3 linked regions of the Cricetulus griseus genome follow. The protein of the gene in region 1 interacts with the protein of each later gene in a pairwise test. Links are inferred from orthologs where the notes say so. Each region holds a gene or a part of one and is shown in the gene's direction. Other genes may lie near its edges.

The links. The genes of interacting proteins can lie anywhere in the genome.
Region 2: the proteins of Ndn (region 1) and Sertad3 interact in a two-hybrid assay, tested with the Homo sapiens proteins (2 studies listed by BioGRID and IntAct). The link is inferred for Cricetulus griseus from reciprocal best matches to the Homo sapiens genes NDN and SERTAD3.
Region 3: the proteins of Ndn (region 1) and Eef1akmt1 interact in a two-hybrid assay, tested with the Homo sapiens proteins (2 studies listed by BioGRID and IntAct). The link is inferred for Cricetulus griseus from reciprocal best matches to the Homo sapiens genes NDN and EEF1AKMT1.

The regions. Positions count from the first base shown.
Region 1 is NC_048596.1:135,132,860-135,137,702, reverse strand, and holds Ndn (necdin), read left to right. Parts: upstream 1-1,836; coding exon 1,837-2,814; downstream 2,815-4,843. UniProt on the Homo sapiens protein: Growth suppressor that facilitates the entry of the cell into cell cycle arrest.
Region 2 is NC_048602.1:8,446,864-8,453,326, reverse strand, and holds the start of Sertad3 (SERTA domain-containing protein 3), read left to right. Parts: upstream 1-2,929; 5' UTR 2,930-3,071; intron 3,072-3,193; exon of another isoform or gene 3,194-3,312; intron 3,313-5,847; 5' UTR 5,848-5,850; coding exon 5,851-6,450; 3' UTR 6,451-6,463.
Region 3 is NW_023276807.1:212,637,636-212,643,935, reverse strand, and holds the start of Eef1akmt1 (EEF1A lysine methyltransferase 1), read left to right. Parts: upstream 1-2,766; 5' UTR 2,767-2,888; exon of another isoform or gene 2,889-2,975; intron 2,976-3,251; exon of another isoform or gene 3,252-3,386; intron 3,387-3,411; exon of another isoform or gene 3,412-3,710; intron 3,711-3,733; exon of another isoform or gene 3,734-3,975; intron 3,976-4,739; 5' UTR 4,740-4,833; intron 4,834-6,001; 5' UTR 6,002-6,020; coding exon 6,021-6,164; intron 6,165-6,300. UniProt on the Homo sapiens protein: Protein N-lysine methyltransferase that selectively catalyzes the trimethylation of EEF1A at 'Lys-79'.

The DNA.
Region 1 (4,843 bases):
TAGGATTCACCTCATTTATGAAAGACTGTTATACTTTATTAATAGAAACTTCACTTAAAATATATTGGCAAGTATTTAGCTGTGCTCCCAACATGGAACTAGTCTTTAGCAGAGTTGAATATTTTCTATAAACTCAGAGGATGTAGCAATAATAATTAAAGGAAGAATGGCACTGTGGAAACATGAAAATACACTATCATAAAATTTCTCTAATATCTTAAGGAGAAATATAAATGAAATCAAAGTGACCCAATAAATGTGGAAAGCTGAAATCTATAGATATTAAAACAATTGTAAATCAACTAGCTAAACATCCAGTTATGGATGAATGCATAAAATGTTATATATACATATATACGCATATATGAGTATAATTGTACATACAAGTATATTCATGTATGTGTTAACACATATATATGTATATATACATAATATGTATATATACTGTTCTCATAACTAATTTGATGTCTCATGTACAATATAATATTGTTTATTACTTGTGACAGCATGTATGAACTTGATGGAATTGTGTGAAGTGAAAAGGGCTATATATAGACAAAGCTTCCTGATCTCCAACATTTGTGGAAATGAGGGAGACATGACATCAAATAAGTAGAGAGTAGAAAATTGATTACCAAAGGCTGTGAAAGGAACATGGAGGATAAAGATTGCCTTCTGAAACAAGAACATAGTTAGGAACAATATTCTGTAGTGTACTATAACAAAGTGCAGTGGGTGTACTCAGCTATACATGTTTAAGGAGATAGAAAAAGGAATTTTAAATATCCCTAAAGGTTAAAGTGATATATGTGTTAATTATGCAAGTTTGCTTACTGCATATTGTGCTTGTGTATAAAGACAAACTCTTATTTGTGTCAATTATATGTGTATATTGTGTAAGTGTATGCAAATTTATGAGAAGGGTGTTGTGTATCCTGCTCTATTGTTCTCTACCCTATTCCTTTGAGACAGGATCTCTCACTGAACCTAAACTTGGGCTGGTTTCTGGCAAATGCCTGTAATTCTCCTAATTGTACCTCTCAGAGCAGGGTTTACAAACACAGACTATGCCATTACATTTTTTGTGAGTCTTAGGGATTTGAACTAGGGTTCTCACACTTGCACTACAAATGCTCTTACCCATGGACTGAGCCAATTCCCATCCCAATAAAAAAATGTTTAAACACACACCAATTATGCTATATAATTTTATTACTTCCAAAACATTCAAATTCCACTTGGGCTGATTTCCAGTGTCTGTAATGACACTTTATATTCTTCCGTATTGGATCTGGACTCAGGTTTGGTAAAGATTTGCTCTATTAATTTTTCAACATTCCAATCTTAAACATCACATTATCTTCACAATGCTCGCACTTCCAAAAAAAAAAAAAAAAATCAAAAACTCATTACTGTCTCACTCTTTTGTAGAAAGTCCAAGCTCTCTAGCCAGTCTACCCCCTTTCACACAAAAACTCAAAGGTGCTCTAACTTGACTTCACCATCTCAGCTGCATCTTTCTACTTAAACTTGCTCCTTCCCCATCACCATCTCTTTCTAGCTCACCCAGGAGACCTGGAGATCTTTCCCATTAGTTTAGTGGTACCCTCCCTCAGACCCCAGTGGTTGGGCTTTGCATCTCAGCTCCTATCCAGCCCTACCACCCTTCTGGCTTGCCAACACGCATGCGCAGTGTCAAGTCCGCCCCGCCCGGCCGCTGCTGCGGAAGGCACAGCTCTCAGTAAAGCGCACTTCCTCTGCTGGTGTCCACTGAGGGAGTGCTGGTTCCAAGAGCTCCAAGTCGCAGCGGTCCTGCTCTGATCAGAAGGCGCAGACATGTCGGAACAAAGTAAGGACTTGAGCGACCCTAACTTTGCACCTGATGCCGCCAACTCCGAGGTGCAGGAGAGCTCTGAGATTCCGGTGGGGGTCCCTCCTCCCACATCTCCAGCCGCGATCGTCGCAGAGGCACCAGAAGCTCCTGAAGGCCCTATGGCAGCCCGGCAGGCCTCGCCGCCGCCTCCAGAAAGGTTAGAAGATATTGACCCTAAGATTCTGGAGCAGGCCATAGAGGAGGGCCGCGCCCACAATCCCGATAGCCCGGTCCGTCAGCTGCCAACACCACCCGCCCCGGCCCAGGTGGTGCAGAAGGCGCACGAGCTCATGTGGTACGTGTTGGTCAAGGACCAGAAGAGGATGGTCCTCTGGTTCCCAGACATGGTGAAAGATGTCATGGGCAGCTACAAGAAATGGTGCAGAAGCATCCTCCGGCGCACCAGCCTCATCCTTGCCAGAGTTTTTGGGCTGCACCTGAGGCTGACCAATATCCACACGATGGAGTTCGCCCTGGTCAAAGCCCTCAGCCCAGCAGAACTGGACAGAGTGGCGCTGAACAACCGTATGCCCATGACAGGCCTCCTGCTCATGATCCTGAGCCTCATCTACGTGAAGGGCCGCGGGGCCAGAGAGGGAGCCGTCTGGAATGTGCTGCACATCCTGGGACTGAGGCCCTGGAAGAAGCACTCCACCTTCGGAGACGTGAGGAAGATTATCACCGAGGAGTTCGTCCAGCAGAATTACCTGAAGTACCAGCTTGTTCCCCACAGCGATCCTCCTGAGTACGAGTTCTTCTGGGGGTCCAGAGCCAACCGTGAAATCACCAAGATGCAGATTATGGAGTTCCTGGCCAGGGTCTTTAAGAAAGATCCCCAGGCTTGGCCCTCCCGCTACCGAGAGGCTCTGGAGCAGGCCAGAGCTCTGCGGGAGGCTAATCTTGCTGCCCACTGCCCCCGCAGCAGTGTCTCTGGTGATTAGGAAGGTCCCCAGCATGTTGATAATTTCTGACCCATACTTGGGCTGTATAAGGGTGGGGTTGGGTCATTAGAGTATTCCACATTCACAGTGCAGTATTTCATGTGTAACCTTTAAGTTTTCCTTACAGTGCTTTTGTACCTTTCAATGCAATATATTCATTTGTGTTCGCTTGGAGCGTGTTAAGGATTTATGCATGTGCGTTTACAAGTAAGCAAGTGGATGCTTTCACTTCTGTGCTTTTTTGTACAAGAGATGTGCTGTGCTGAACCTGTGAAATCCATTGAGATGTTGTGTATCTATTCTTTGTATGAAAGTGATGATCTGTATCAACATAAAAGCCCAGGAGAGTTAGGAGGTGAGCAAAGCAGGCCTGACCAGAGAAAGGTCAAGGGCCCTCTTATATGAACTCAACTGGCACAGGAAGCATCCCTGTGGAATGGACTGATTTGAACTGGAATGTTCTCAGTGTAGGCACTTAGCACACCCTACCAAACATGTATACAACCCCACCATAAATAAACTTTGAAGTGAGCATTAAAGATCCTTGTGGAATAATTTCTTTGGGGGGGTATTTATTTTGTGGGAAGGGGGGTTGGGATGGGAGGGAATGAGGAAGATCTGCCCATGCACAGCATGCACAAACATGGTGTTCAACTAAAAGAGTGGAAAACCATTACCCAAGACCACTCAGGGTTACAGCTTTATTTTTCTATTTAATCAAACTGGTGACACTTCAAAGACTTTGACATTTAAGGGGTGTAATAATCAAAGAAAAGTATCTTATCACATCACATGGGGATAATTAATAACAGGTATTATGAAGTGACTTGCCCCTTCCCTGTTTTTTTTTTTTTTTTTTTTTGACGTTTTTGGTGGGCACTTAACAGAATGAAACATCGTTACCAAATCCTTTATGAGCACCTTATCCTTTATTTTATCCTCCCCCTATCCATAAGAGGTAGGAGGTTACTGAGTCAGCATGGAGGAAGAAATATGTAAAGAGTGTGGGTAATAAACTGTCCTAAAAATCATACAGGTTATATGCTGGAGCCTTGACTCTTAGCTCACCCACGGCCACCACACATATGAGCACCCTTTGCCTCCCTGCTGCATACACTAAGGATTTGATTTTTTTTAATTAATTCCAAAATCTTTTACAGGAAAACAGGCTTCTGGGTGTATAAATTCGGGAACTCAGTTCCAGAAAGAATTGTCAACCTAATCAAGTCCCTAACATGCTTCCGGGTGAAGACAAGATTTGAAACATGATCTTTCCAGAGGGATGAAGATGAGGGAAGCTTTTCTGAGAGTGGTATCAGTAAGAGTCATGACATTTATGGAATAGGGGAGTAGCTGGGTTTAAGAAGTTGCCTCCAGCCACACAGCTACATTTGTGTCTCAGGATTCTGTCGGTTACAGCAAACAGTGGGTGATGAGAGGGTGGCTGGGATGACAGTCACAGTAAGCAGCAATAATTGGGGAGAGATCATTAGGAAGCTTTTGGTCTGAGGAGAAAGAGGGAGAGAAGGGGCTTTAATGAGATTAGACACCCTTTAGAGGCCAGGTAGGAAAAGGCATCTAACCAAAGTTAGAACCCTTTTCTGGAGAAGGTGGATGAGGGGGCAGCATCTGTCACAGCATATTTTTAAAAAGTAAACAGTCCTATCCGTGTGAAAGAGTAAGTGCAGAACCGACAGCACTTATAGCATTATCTAACTGGCAGAGCAGGGAATGAAAATGTGCATAAACCCCAGTGTCTGTGAAAATTTATTCTATCCCATTTAGTTGTTCCCATAGTCTTTTACAGGAGTGAGAGTGGAGAGCGAGAGCACGCAGACATTGGCAGTAACCCTAATATGGGCGACCTGGCTTTCAGCACACTTCTTCATGGAGAGCTGTTGTTAGATGTCATGATTATTTAAAAATTTTAGGATTTCTCTGCTGTAAGAGAAAGATAAAGAGATAAACAGATCCAAGATAACTGACAGTGGCATACTAGCCAAAGCTTTGCAGAGAAATAGGATTGTGA
Region 2 (6,463 bases), on another chromosome or scaffold:
TCTCTCTCTCTCTCTCTCTCTCTCTCTCTCTCTCTCTCTCTCTTTCTCTGCTTTCTCTCTTCTCTGTCTCTCACCTACACGCTCTCCCTGCCTCTCTATGGGGATCAGCCGTGGAGGTCAGAGCCATTACCCCTGTTCCTCTTCTTAGTCTCCCTACTCTGCTGGGCCCATATATTAACTAGTCAACAAGTCTCATGTCTCAGCATTTCTCTTTCTTCTTTTTAAACAAAAGAATAACAATATATGCAGGCAAAACAATCATACACATACAATTACAATAAATAAATATAGGATTAAGTCGGGTGGTGGTGGCACACACCTGTAATCCCAGCACTCGGGAGGCAGAGGCAGTCGGATCTCTGTGAGTTCGAGGCCAGCCTGGTCTACAGAGCGAAAGTGCCAGGATAGGCTCCAAAGCTACACAGAAACTCTGTCTCAAAAAACAAACAAAAAAAGAAAAAGAAAAAGAAAAAGAAAGAAAGAAAGAAGGAAGGAAAGAGAGAGAGAAAGAGAGAAAGAAAGAAAGAAAGAAAGAAAGAAAGAAAGAAAGAAAGAAAGAAAATGATGACAATAAAAAACGACCCAGGCTGGGTTTGGCATTGAACAACTGTAATCCCAGCACCTGCGTGGTGGCTTGAAGGATCAGAAGCTCAAGGTCAAGTACGTATGAGGATAGAGTTCTAGGGCTGTAGAGGTAGTTCAGTGAGTAAAGGCACTTGCCACCAAGCCTGACGACCTGAGTTGGATCCTTAGCTCTCACGTGGTCGGACTCCCTCAAATTGTCCTCTGACCTCTACATGCCTGTTATGGTACACATAAACCCAATATAAACAAATACAATATTTTAAAAATAAGTAGGAAGTTCCTGAGCTATGGGAGAGACACTGACTCAGAAGCAAAATCAAAGAGATGGTTCCATGATTGAGAGCCCCTGTTGCTCTTGCACAGGGTCCAGGTTAGGTTCCCACATCCTACATGGTAACTCATAACTATCAATAACTCTAACCCCAGGGGATCTGATGCCTTCTCACTTCGGCTGGCACCAGGCATGTACATGGTGCACATACATACATTCCAATAAAATGCTCACATAAAACTTAAAAAAAAAAGCAAAACCAGGGGCTGGAGAGAGGGCTCAGCATTTAAAAGCACAGCATTACACACCTGTCTGTAACTCCAGTTCCAGGGCTTCTGAGACCCTCACACACACATGCAGGCAAAACACAAAAACACATACAATAATTAAAAAAAAAAAAAAAAAGCAAAACCACCTGGATGGCGATGGTGCCACAAGCCTTTAATCCCAGCACTTGGTAGGCAGAGGCAAGTGGATCTCTGAGGCCAGCTTGGTCTACAGAGTGAGTTCCAGGACAGCCAGGCAGTCAGGGCTACACAGAGAAACCGTGACTCAAAAAGCATAAAAAAAAAGAAAAAGAAAGAGAGAGAGAGAGGGAGGGAGGGAGGGAGAGAGAGAGAGAGAGAGAGAAAGAAAGAAAGAAAGAAAGAAAGAAAGAAAGAAAGAAAGAAAGAAAGAAAGAAAGACCACAGATTCAGAGTTTTGCGGTCTCAGTGCTGAGAGTTTGCTATGGACTTGCCTTGCTTTGGACTCTTTAGATCAGGTAAACTCTTTAGATCAGGTAAGTCCCATATTTATTTCTTAGAAGGTATTAGAGCCAGTTTAGAAACACTGATAGCAAGCCAGACAAGATGGTGAATGCCTAAATCCTAGCGCTTGAAGACTAAAACAGGAGGGTAGAGAATGCCAGGGTAGCTTAGGCTAAATACATAGCAAGAGCCTGTTTCAGGAAACAACCAAAAAAATGTCTGGAGACGTAGCTCAGAAGTAGAGTGAGTGCTTTGGCACTAGGTCGGCGCTGTGTTCCCTCCCCAACACCAAAAAAAAAAAAAAAAAAAAAAAAAGAAAAGAAAGAAACAAAGGGGGGAATTTTCTGGGGCTGGAGGGGCACACCTGTAACCCCAGCCAGAACTGAGGCGATGGGAGCAAGGGAATTAGAATTTCAAGGCCAGCACTGTCTACAACACGAGCCGGGAGCTTGCACACGACTGTCTCAAAACAAAACGAAACCTGAAAATGAGTCCTGGGGAACAGGAAGGAAGGCACCCCAGGCCAGATCGTGATAGGGCAAGCTCACCCGTCACTCTGAGACCATGTCACAAAATAAGTACAAACTGAAAAATCTTAGGGGCTATGTAGCTCAGTCCTACTACAGCGCTCAAGTCCAGTGCCCAAACCCAAAAGATAAATTTGAGTTTGTCCCGAGAGTTGCGCGGAGCGATGAAGAGTGAGCAGCAAGAGGCGGGCAACATGATTTCGAAACCATGGGGCAGCCTGGGATCCAGGAGCTCCCACCAAACGGGCAGCGGACCCCTCAAGATTAAGCACCGACTGCGCCTACAAAACGGCTGGGGAGCTGGGGGAGGCAGAGCGAAGCCTGCCAAGGGGCGGGGCTGCGGTCGTCCAGGTAACGCAAGCCGCAATACGCGATTGGCTGATATTTAGTGCGTCACTCCCTCCCCCCCTCCGCTTAGCCGGGGCGGGGGCGTGGCCTCCGCGGGTTTGCCCAGCCTGCAAAACCGCAAGGGAGGGAGGGAGGGGAGTGTGGTGTCACCCGGTGTGGCCCCGCACTGGGGTCTGGCCCGGGTGTGTAAGCGACCTGCGGAGAGACAGAGGAGCAAGAAACACAGCGGGGTGCAAAGAAGCCGTGCGCACGGCCGGCGCCACCCTCCGCCACCGTGCTGGCCCGCCCCGCCCCCTGTTAGTCGCCAGCTTAAACGGGACCCGGCCCTGGAGGGGGGCGGAGCCTAGCGCCCGTGGCTCCTCCTAGCCAATGGCGCCCCACGGCGGGCAGGGTTCCAACCAATCGTGGCTCGCTATGGCCTGCGGGGCGGAGCCGAGCGTCTCCCCGCCCCCGGCCCCCCGGCCCCCCTCCCACGGCCAGACCCGGAGGCCCCGGGGAAAGTGAGCCTGACTCCTGGCCAGCTCTGGTGGGACGCGGCGCCCAGCGCGGGGTTGCCGGAGGTTTGCAGTCGAGGCGACCGTGGCGACCGAGGTGATTGATCAGTGGCCGCCTGGGTGGGGTTTGCTGAAGTTGCAGGAGGGGGAGGAGGGGGAGGAGGAGGGGGCGCGCCCCGGGGTGGGGTGGGCGGAAGCGGGGTAGGGACCCGGGCGGATTGGTGTGGCTGAAGCCGGATCCCAGCATCAGCACCGGAGGGGAGGCAGGATGGAGCTGGAGGACCGAGGGGAACCGGAGGAGGAACTTTGGAGCGGGGCGACGGCTTGGGTGTCCCCGGGTGGGCAGAGTGCGGAGTGGCTCGGCGTTCTGGGGAGCGAGTGAGAGTTCCAGGGCTGCCGCCGCAACCCCTTAGATAGAGGAGCCCGGGAAGAACGCGGGGCACCCGGGGCTGGGCTTCCGAGACGCCCGTCTGAGAAGGGGATGATGCCTGGGGAGGAGTTCCGGCTCGGGGTCCTCCGACCTTGCAAAGTAAAGCCGGGGGGAAGTCATTTCAAAGTCGAGCCACGAACGGGGGGACGCTGGGGACGAGGTCTCAGAATCGAGGTCCCCGCTCTCCCCCGGCCGGACTACCGTAGTCAGTCGTTCACCTGCTCTGAACGATGCGATGCGGGACTCCGCACCCCGAGGACGCTCGAAGGAAGAATCCAGAAACTTCCTGGGGTGATAGGAACCCGGAGAAAGCCCTTTTCGGGTGGAAGGCGGGTGGGGGAGGGGCGTGGAGCTCAGATTCGCCGCCCCGAAGGCAGCAGAGGGCGGGGTTCGGCCGGTGCCCGGCGGCTGGGCGTCCGGGTCCCTTCCCCCCGCCACCAACCAGAGCTCCAATGAGCATGCTCTCGGGCAGGGCGGGTGTGTCCAGGCCCCCCCAGCGCGCAGCGCCTTCTGGGGATTGTAGTTCGAGAGTGACAGCAGCGGCTCTGCCTGTGGTCTCTGGGTCCACAGCTCCCAGAAGGCCCTGAGGACATATTGGGGTGTTCTTGGATCTGATCTAGAGATCCAGGGAAGGGCGGTGCCTATGAGAAAGGACTGTATGGAGGGCACAGCTTGGTGTTGGTTCAGTTCTATCCGGTTGAGGAATGCAAGTTTGGTAAATGCTCCCTCTCTTGTGAAAGCTCCTGGTCTTGGTGTCGGAAACGTATATGGACAGAAATATCCTTGTAAAAAGAAGAAAATCACACACACACACACACACACACACACACACACACACACACACACACACACACACACACACACACCCTCAGTTGGGCATGGGGTTGCACGTCCCAGCATTTGGAAAAGAAAGGCGGTAGGATATGAGTTCTAGGCCAACCTGACCTACAGGGGAGGTTCCAGGGCTACACAGAGAAACCTTGTCTGAAAAGAAACAAAAACAAAACAACAAATCTAAGGTCCAGAGATATGGCCATGCCTCTTGCCAAGATCACAGTTCAAACGCAGAGCTCAAATGTGCTTTCGGTCTGTGGCTCTGTACTCCATACTTGGCTGTCCTGTGACTTGTTAGGGAAAAAAAAAAAAAGATAATAAAAGTATTGCTGGAGAACAGTGCAAGATCCATTGAGATCAGAGTTAAGATCCTCACTTTGCAAATGCTGAAATTGCTCGTCAGAGTGTAATTTTAACATCGTGACTGCCGCAGGCTAATAAGTGATATTCAAGCCAAGTGATATTCAAGTGTTTGGTGATTTGTTTGGGGGCTTTTTGTTTTTCTGAGAGAGGGCCATCTGACCATGAGACTCTGCTTACCCTAAGATTGGATACGTGGACTAGGGTGGTCTTTATTTTTATTTATTTATTTTTTGACTAGGGTGGTCTTGAACTCACAAAACTCTACCTGCCTCTGCCTCCTGGTGATGAAATTAATGGCATGGGACAGCATTGGCAATTTTTTTTCTGTTTATTTTTATGTTTTTAATTTTAGGTGTATGAGTATTTTACTTGCATGTATGTATAGACACCACTTGTGGCAGATCCCCTAAAGTGGAGGCATAGGTCCTCTAAAACTGGAGTTTTAGACAGCTCAGAACCATCACGTTGGTGCTAGAAATCAAACTCAGGTCCTCCGGAAGAGCAGCTGGTGTTCTTAACCACTCAGCCATACCTTTTATATTTGAGATGCTATCTAGCCAAGGATGACCTTGAACTCCTGAACTTTTCTGCCTCCTAAATGCTCTTACACACACACACACACACACACTCACGCACGCACGCACGCACGCACGCACGCACACACACACACACACACATTCTCTTTCTCACTGATCACTCTGTGCTACCCTACTTGCATCTTGTTTTAATATACATTGTTGTTTTGCCTGCATGTATGTCTGTGTCTGAAGGTGTCAGATAGATCTTGGAGTTACAGAGAGTTGTGAGCTGCCCTGTGGGTGCTGGGAATTGAACCCGAGTGCTCTGGAAGGGCAGTCGGTGCTCTTAACCACTGAGCCGTCTCTCCAGCCCTGAATCTTGTTCTTTTAATCAAATAGCATACATTTATTCACCATTCTTAGCCTTGTAGGAGTCTGACTATATGCACTTTTAAGTAGAGGTTCTGATCAAAGGAACCAACCAACCCTCCCGTAACTATACAGTCTTGCTTGAAAAAGTGGGATCCAAAGGTATCCAAAGGCATGGCTGTCTCATGCCTTTAATTCCAGTACTGTGAGGGCTGGGTGGATCTCTGAATTCGAGGCCAGCCTGGTCTTACAGATTGAGTTCCAGGACTGCCATGGCACAGAAAACAAACTGTCTTAAACAAACAAAAAAGCAAGCAAACAAAAAAAGCAAATGTGTCTGATGTGACTCTTTTCCACAGGACATGGGAGGCTTAAAGAGGAAACATTCTGATTTGGAAGAGGAGGAGGAGGAGGAGGATGAGAACTGGGCCTGGAGTCCAGCTGGTCTTCGAAGCTACCAGCAAGCCCTGCTCCGAATCTCTCTGGACAAAGTCCAGCGCAGCCTGGGCCCCAGAGCACCCAGCCTCCGCAGGCATGTCCTTATCCACAACACACTCCAGCAGCTCCAGGCTGCCATTCGCCTGGCTCCAGCTCCAGCCCTGCCCCCAGAGCCTCTCTTCCTGGGTGAAGAAGATTTCTCCCTGTCTACCACCATTGGCTCTATCCTCAGGGAGCTGGATACATCCATGGGTGAGATGGCATCCCCTCCGAATCCAGTGGCTCCCCCAAGTCCCCCGAATGAAACGATGCCCCAGGCTGATCCTGTGTTTTTAGAAGCTCTGAGCTCCCGGTACTTGGGAGATTCTGGCCTGGATGACTTCTTTCTGGACATTGACACATCTGCGGTGGAAAAGGACTCTTCACTCCCGCCCCCAGAGCCTCCTCGAAGCCTCTTCTGTGCTCCAGGATCCTGGGAGTGGAATGAATTGGACCACATCATGGAAATTATCCTAGGATCCTAAGACTCATGGGGGG
Region 3 (6,300 bases), on another chromosome or scaffold:
GCAATGAAACTTTCGAACAATGATAGATAAAAGAGTACTAGATGTTCATTAAGTTTTATTTTATTACTTCTAAGGCTATGTGGTGATGTTTTGTTTATGATCTAACAAGTAAATATTATTTCCTTTCTCGGTTCTCTGAGGGAGTTGAAGACCAGATAGTTATAGTCGTCTTCCTTGTTTACCAGACTCAGAAAAGAAACTCACTAAAGAAATGTAAAGTGTAAAAGGCTGAGAGATATTAAAAGATAGTTTGATAGTGCAAATTAGAATAGAAAGTGAATTAGATACAACCTTTGGAACTCACCAAGGTAGGATAGATAATGGAGTATTTTCTCTGAAATTGCCTATATTTATTGTATATAGTTTTTCTTATATTGGTTATAACCTTTCTTGTATTAGACAAAAGGGGGAATTATGGTGATATTTTGTTTATGATCTAACAAATAAAGCTTGCCTGAAGATCAGAAAAGCAAAGCTGCCAACCACTAGAGAGTTGTACCTCTACCAACCAGTTGATCCTGTCCTCAGCATGACTGTAGACTGAATACACTGTATTCCTGTCTTGTCTCCACCAGCCTTATATTCCTCTCTAGGACTAGGATTAAAGGCTTGCACTACCATCGCCCAACCTCTATGGCTAACTAGTGTGGCTGCTGTGATTGTGATTAAAGGTATGTGCCACCACTGCCTGGCCTGTATGGTTGACTAGTGTGGTCAGCTTTGCACTCTGATCTTCAGGCAAGCTTTATGTGCTACATCATAAACAAAATGCCACCACAAGGCTAAATTCGTTTTACTTGGTAAATATATTCTAGCAAAGGTTCAACATCTAACATTCACTAAATACTGTGTATGCACACAAGACTGCAGGTGGGTTCAGTCAGAGTATGAAGGTCAGCACTTTTACTCACTGAACCCTCCATATCCAGTCCTTAAACATTTAAAAATGTTAGCCATACCACTCTTACCTCTTCTATTTCAAAATGACCTTGTTTTCAGTCAGCTGGCTTAGTCCTCTTGTCCTATACAAGAGGATACTTGAATTGACTAGTTTAAAGAACAGCATGGTTTCTCGTGGTCCTGGTGGCCAGGAAGTCCAAGATGAAGGCATGGGTGTCTGGTGATGGCTTTCTTGTTTGTTCATATAGCTGACATTGAAAAGCAAGAGAGAGCAACACCCTCTGTCCAACCTATTTAGAGGGGGCATAATGTCATTAACAAGGGATAAGCTTTTAGGTTCCACCAACTTTTAAATGCCCTACCTCAAGATTCTGTCTCATTGGCTACATCTGAATTTTGCAGGGTTTTGTGGAAAGCAAAGCGATTCTAATGCACCTGCTGCTGCTGCTGCTATTACTGGGGGGAAAAATCCAACAAGTGATCTCCAAACTTTAGTTTCCTGTCAACACTAATTTATGACTTAGTCTATTATCAAATAAATCTTACTTGATTAATAACTTTAATTATTTTTAATTTGTGTGGTTAAAAATCTTAATTACTCGGGCTGGAGAGATGGCTCAGAGGTTAAGAGCACCGACTGCTCTTCCAGAGGTCCTGAGTTCAATTCCCAGCAACCACATGGTGGCTCACAACCATCAGTAATGAGATCTGGTGCCCTCTTCTGGTGTGCAGATATACATGGAAGCAGAATGTTGTGTACATAATAAATAAATAAAATCTTTAAAAAAAATCTTAATTACTCGAGCTTAGATTATTCATTTATCTATTTATTTATGGCTTTTTGAGACAGGGTTTCTCTGTGTAACAACCCTGGATATCCTGGAACTGGAGATACAGTCTTAATATGTAGCCCTGCTCTCCAAGAACTTGTGCAGCCCAGACTGCACTCAAACTTAGAGAGATTCATCTGCTTCCTCTGGGTCTTGGGATTAAAGATGTGGGGCACCAGGACTGACTATTTCTATTTTCAGAGATCTTTCAAAGTATGCTTTGCACCATTGCTGAATGGAAAAGGAATAATTCCCGAACTGAAATTGATTTGAAATCATCTTTTAGGTGATTGACTGAACAATTTCACCTTTACTCCAATAAGGATTAGTTTGCCTTTGATATTACTTTTTATGATTTATGAAAAACATTTAAGTTATAATAAATAAATTCCACAAGGAAAATATTAACCATTATGTATTACCTGAGTGGCCAGCAACTATTGGAGATGAAAAGGTTTTAGTTGGGCGGTGGATCATAACTTTAATCCCAGCATTCGGGAGTTTGAGGCAGGCAGGTTTCTGAGTTTGAGGCCAGCCTGATCTACAGAGAGAGCTTTCCTGTCTTGAAAAAACATAAGCAAAACAAAACAAGCAAAAGGTTTGAACTTTTCTCCCCTCCCTCTCTCTCTCCCCCACTTTCTTTCCTCTCTCCAACTGCTCCTGTCTCTGGAGGCTGGTCTCTCCCCTTCCCTTTTCGTTTTTTAAGATCCCTATCCCTAATAAAAATCCCCTCTGCTTGAACCCTGTCGCATGGCGTCTTTCTCTCGTGCACTGCTTTTCTTAAATTACAACAGAAGGAAAGGGAGCCTTAGCCATAATTCCGGTCTATTGTGTGCCAGCCACCACGCTAGGTAGTGTAGCTGGTAGAATATGTATTCACAAACGCCCCGTGCATTCAACGCTCAAAGCTCTGAAAGACTGATGGGTTTGGAAGACTTTCTGAATCCCCTAATACTATGAAGCCTTCATTGTTTCAGTCCGTGTTTCAATTCTAAGACCGTCGGGGCAAACAAACCTAGTGGGAAACTAGCTGACCACCAGGAGCCTGGGTTCACTGGGCGGGACTAGACTCCAGGACCGCTTCCGACTGCGCCTGCGCAAACGCGGCCGTCCCTTGCACGGCGTCTGCGCACTGAGGCAACTGCGCATGTGTCAGTGGTGAGTGGCGGGCGCGCAGTGGGGCGACAGAGACCTAAGGGCTTTAGGTGGGCTTCGGCGATTCCGGGTGGATTCCGTGGCGGCGGCGTGCGTTCAGTGGTGACTTCGGCGGGGCTTGCTGTCCACGGGGCGGGGCTCGCTGTCCACGGGGCGGGGCTCGCTGCCCACGGGGCGGGGCTCGCTGCCCACGGGGCGGGGCTTGCCTCCACGGAATCGGGCTCGCTGCCCACGGGGCAGGGCTCGCTGTCCACGGGGCGGGGCTTGCGGTTCACGCCGACCTCGGCTCTGTGGGGTCCCTGGACTTGGGCATCTTGACCCGGAAACAGGCCCTAGCATCCCGCAGGTGGTTAGGTCGGAATGGTGCTCCAACCGGAAGCGGAAGACTGCCGGGAAGGGGGCACGTGCTGGAAACAGGCCGGGGCTGCCTGGGCGGTCCCCTAACCTACCATGTTGTGTGTTCATGGCCTGCTTGCTTTCTCCGTGGAAGTTTTATCTCAGGTTGTGGTGGGGGTTTATTTTTGAGATGGTCTCTGTGTAGCCCAGGCTGACCTCGAACTCATGATTCTCTTGCTTCAATAGTGCTGTCCTCAGACCCGCATCACCACACCCAACCATCTTTCTTTGAAGTGGAGTGCTGCCCTCTGAACTATAGAAAGTTCAGCATCATAGCTGGCCGTCATCTATGGGTTACCAGCAATGCCCTTGGGTATGACGACCAAAAATGTTTCCACATGTTTGCAAACGTTTCTCTTAGGAGACGAGTGATTCCTGGCTTTTCCCATTAGAATACTGATTTGGAATACCAGCCAGGAACGTCTCCAGGTCAGTTTAATGATAACACTTCCACGCCCCCTTTCGAGCCTGAAAATCTCTTCAACAGAACTTCACAAATCCACTTATATATTATAAAAACAATATAAAACAGCCATATGGGGTAGCCCATACTTGTAATCTCAGGAATCTGAGGCAGCAGGGTCATGAGTTACAGGCTAGCCTAAGCTACATAGTGAGTTCCAGGACAGTCTGGGCTGTATAATGAGACCCAGTCTTCTGTATTTCTTCCCCTGCCCACCCCCCGCAAAAAAAGGTTAGTAACTTATGTTTTCCACCACTACCTTAGTAAATAAACACCCAGACATACAAAAATAAAGTTTATGCTTACTATCAGCAAATGTTTGATTTGTTTATTTTATATGCCTATATGTGAGGGATAACAAAAAGTTTCTTATGAGAAAGGATCATGAGTTTAAGGAGACTTTTATATTTTGCTGTATGACTACTTGATAAATTTGTACTTCCTAAGGTAGTGGTGGAAGTGACGTGTAGTTTGCAGCCATGCTTCATTGCGGGTGAGCACTGCCAAAAGCAACAGCCTCCTGTGTGCTGGGAGTTTTCAATGAACTGTTGGTTGTGCATGTTTAAGTAACTTTTTACGGATGCTAACACCCCTCATACACATTTAGTTTTGAAACCTCATATATGAGGGCATAGCTTTCAGTTTAAGAAGTTAAAGAACATCTAGGCTATGTACTCATAAGTTTTTCAAGGTTTTGGGCACTAGGTAACACAGTGTTCCCTCCGTGGGCATCAGGCATTCATGTGGTGCACACACATACATGGAGGCAAATACACAATAAAAATAAAAGGGATTGGATTTATTAAGTATAATTATGAAGTAGCCTGCTGTTTGTAGAGATGAAAACTTCCATATCAAAGATGAGAATTACTGAGATGGTTCAGTGGTAAAGTTTCTTGTGGACAATCCTGTTGCCCTGAGTTTGATACCTAGAACCCACGTGGCCAAGGTTTTTTGTTTTGTTTTGTTTTGTTTTGTTTTGTTTTTTCTTCAAGACTTGCTGAAAAACTAGAGACCCCTCAGATACAAGAACCGCAACAAGGCAGAAATAGAAAGAGACCACTGGGAAAGAAAGACAAAAGAATACAAGTGAGAGCTTTCTCTTTTTGTTGTTGTTTTGTTTGTTTGTTTGTTTGTTTTTGTTTTTCGAGACAGGATTTCTCTGTGTAGCTTTGGAGTCTATCCTGGCAGTCACTCTGGAGACCAGGCTGGCTTCGAACTCACAGAGATCCATCCGCCTGCCTCTGCCTCCCGAGTGCTGGGATTAAAGGCGTGCGTCACCAATACCCATCGAGAGCTTTCATTAGCGTTTATTGTGTGTGCAGGTTACACAGGTGTGGCACAAGGTTCATATGGAGATCAAAGTCTTACTATTTTTTTTTTTAAGACAGTGTTTCTCTATAACTTGGCTAGTTGGAGCTAGCTATGTAGACCAGGCCAAAGTCAGAGATCCACCTGCCTCTGCCTCCCAGGTGCTGGGATTAATAAAGGTGTGCACCCCCAAGCCTGACTATCCTACTTTATTTCAGTGTTTCTCTCATTTTTGCTGCATCCTTCTCCTCTCTCTCTCTCTCTCTCTCTCTCTCTCTCTCTCTCTCTCTCTCTCTCTCCCTGGGTTTGGGCTATCATATGCAAGCCACCTCATCTGTATGTTTGTTTTAGATTTTATTTGTTTGTATTTTATGTGTATGAGTATTTGCCTTAATGTATGTCCATGCACCACATGTGTGCCTGATGCCAGTAAAGACCGGAAGCAGGCATCAGGTCCCCTGGGACTGGAGTTATTGACTTGTAAGCTGCCATGTAGTTGCTCAACATAGAACCAGGTCCTCTGGAAGAGCGGCCAGTGTTTGGCTGCTGAACCATCTCTAGCACCATGTCTGTGTGTTTTTACAGGGAATCCAAAGATTGACCTCGGGTTATCAGGGATGCATAGTCATTTCACCTGCTAAGCCATCCCACCAGTCCTAGAAAGTTTTAAATATGTATGCTTTCTGTATAAAATTCACCTCTTGACAGGCTGTGGTGGCACACACCATTAATCCCAGCACTTGGGAGGCAGAGGCCAGTGGATCTCTGAGGCCAGCCTCATCTGTAGATCGAGTTCCGGGACTGCCAGGAATACACAGAGAAACCCTGTTTCAGTGGGGGGAAAAATTCACTTCTGTTTGGGTTATTGTCTTGAGTTTAATTTTTCTCATTATTATTTGGTGGGCAGAAGAAACAAGGCCGTGCAACATATATTCTTGCTCTGCAGGTTGTAGAGGATTTGTGAAATGAGTGATTCAGAAGATGATGATATACCCCAGCTTTCTTCCCACGCCTTAGCAGCTCTCCAGGAATTTTATGCTGAGCAGAAGCAGTCCACCATCCCAGGAAGGGATGATAAATACAATGTTGGGGTAATAGAGGAGAACTGGGTAAGTCCATGCGACCATGTTGGAGAAATAGCGGTGTGGCACTTACCATTGCCTAGTTACTGTTTTATCTGTCCTTCCCTCTACTACCTATCATTCAGAAACTGAGGACGCTATAGGGAGCAAGAGCAGGAAGCAG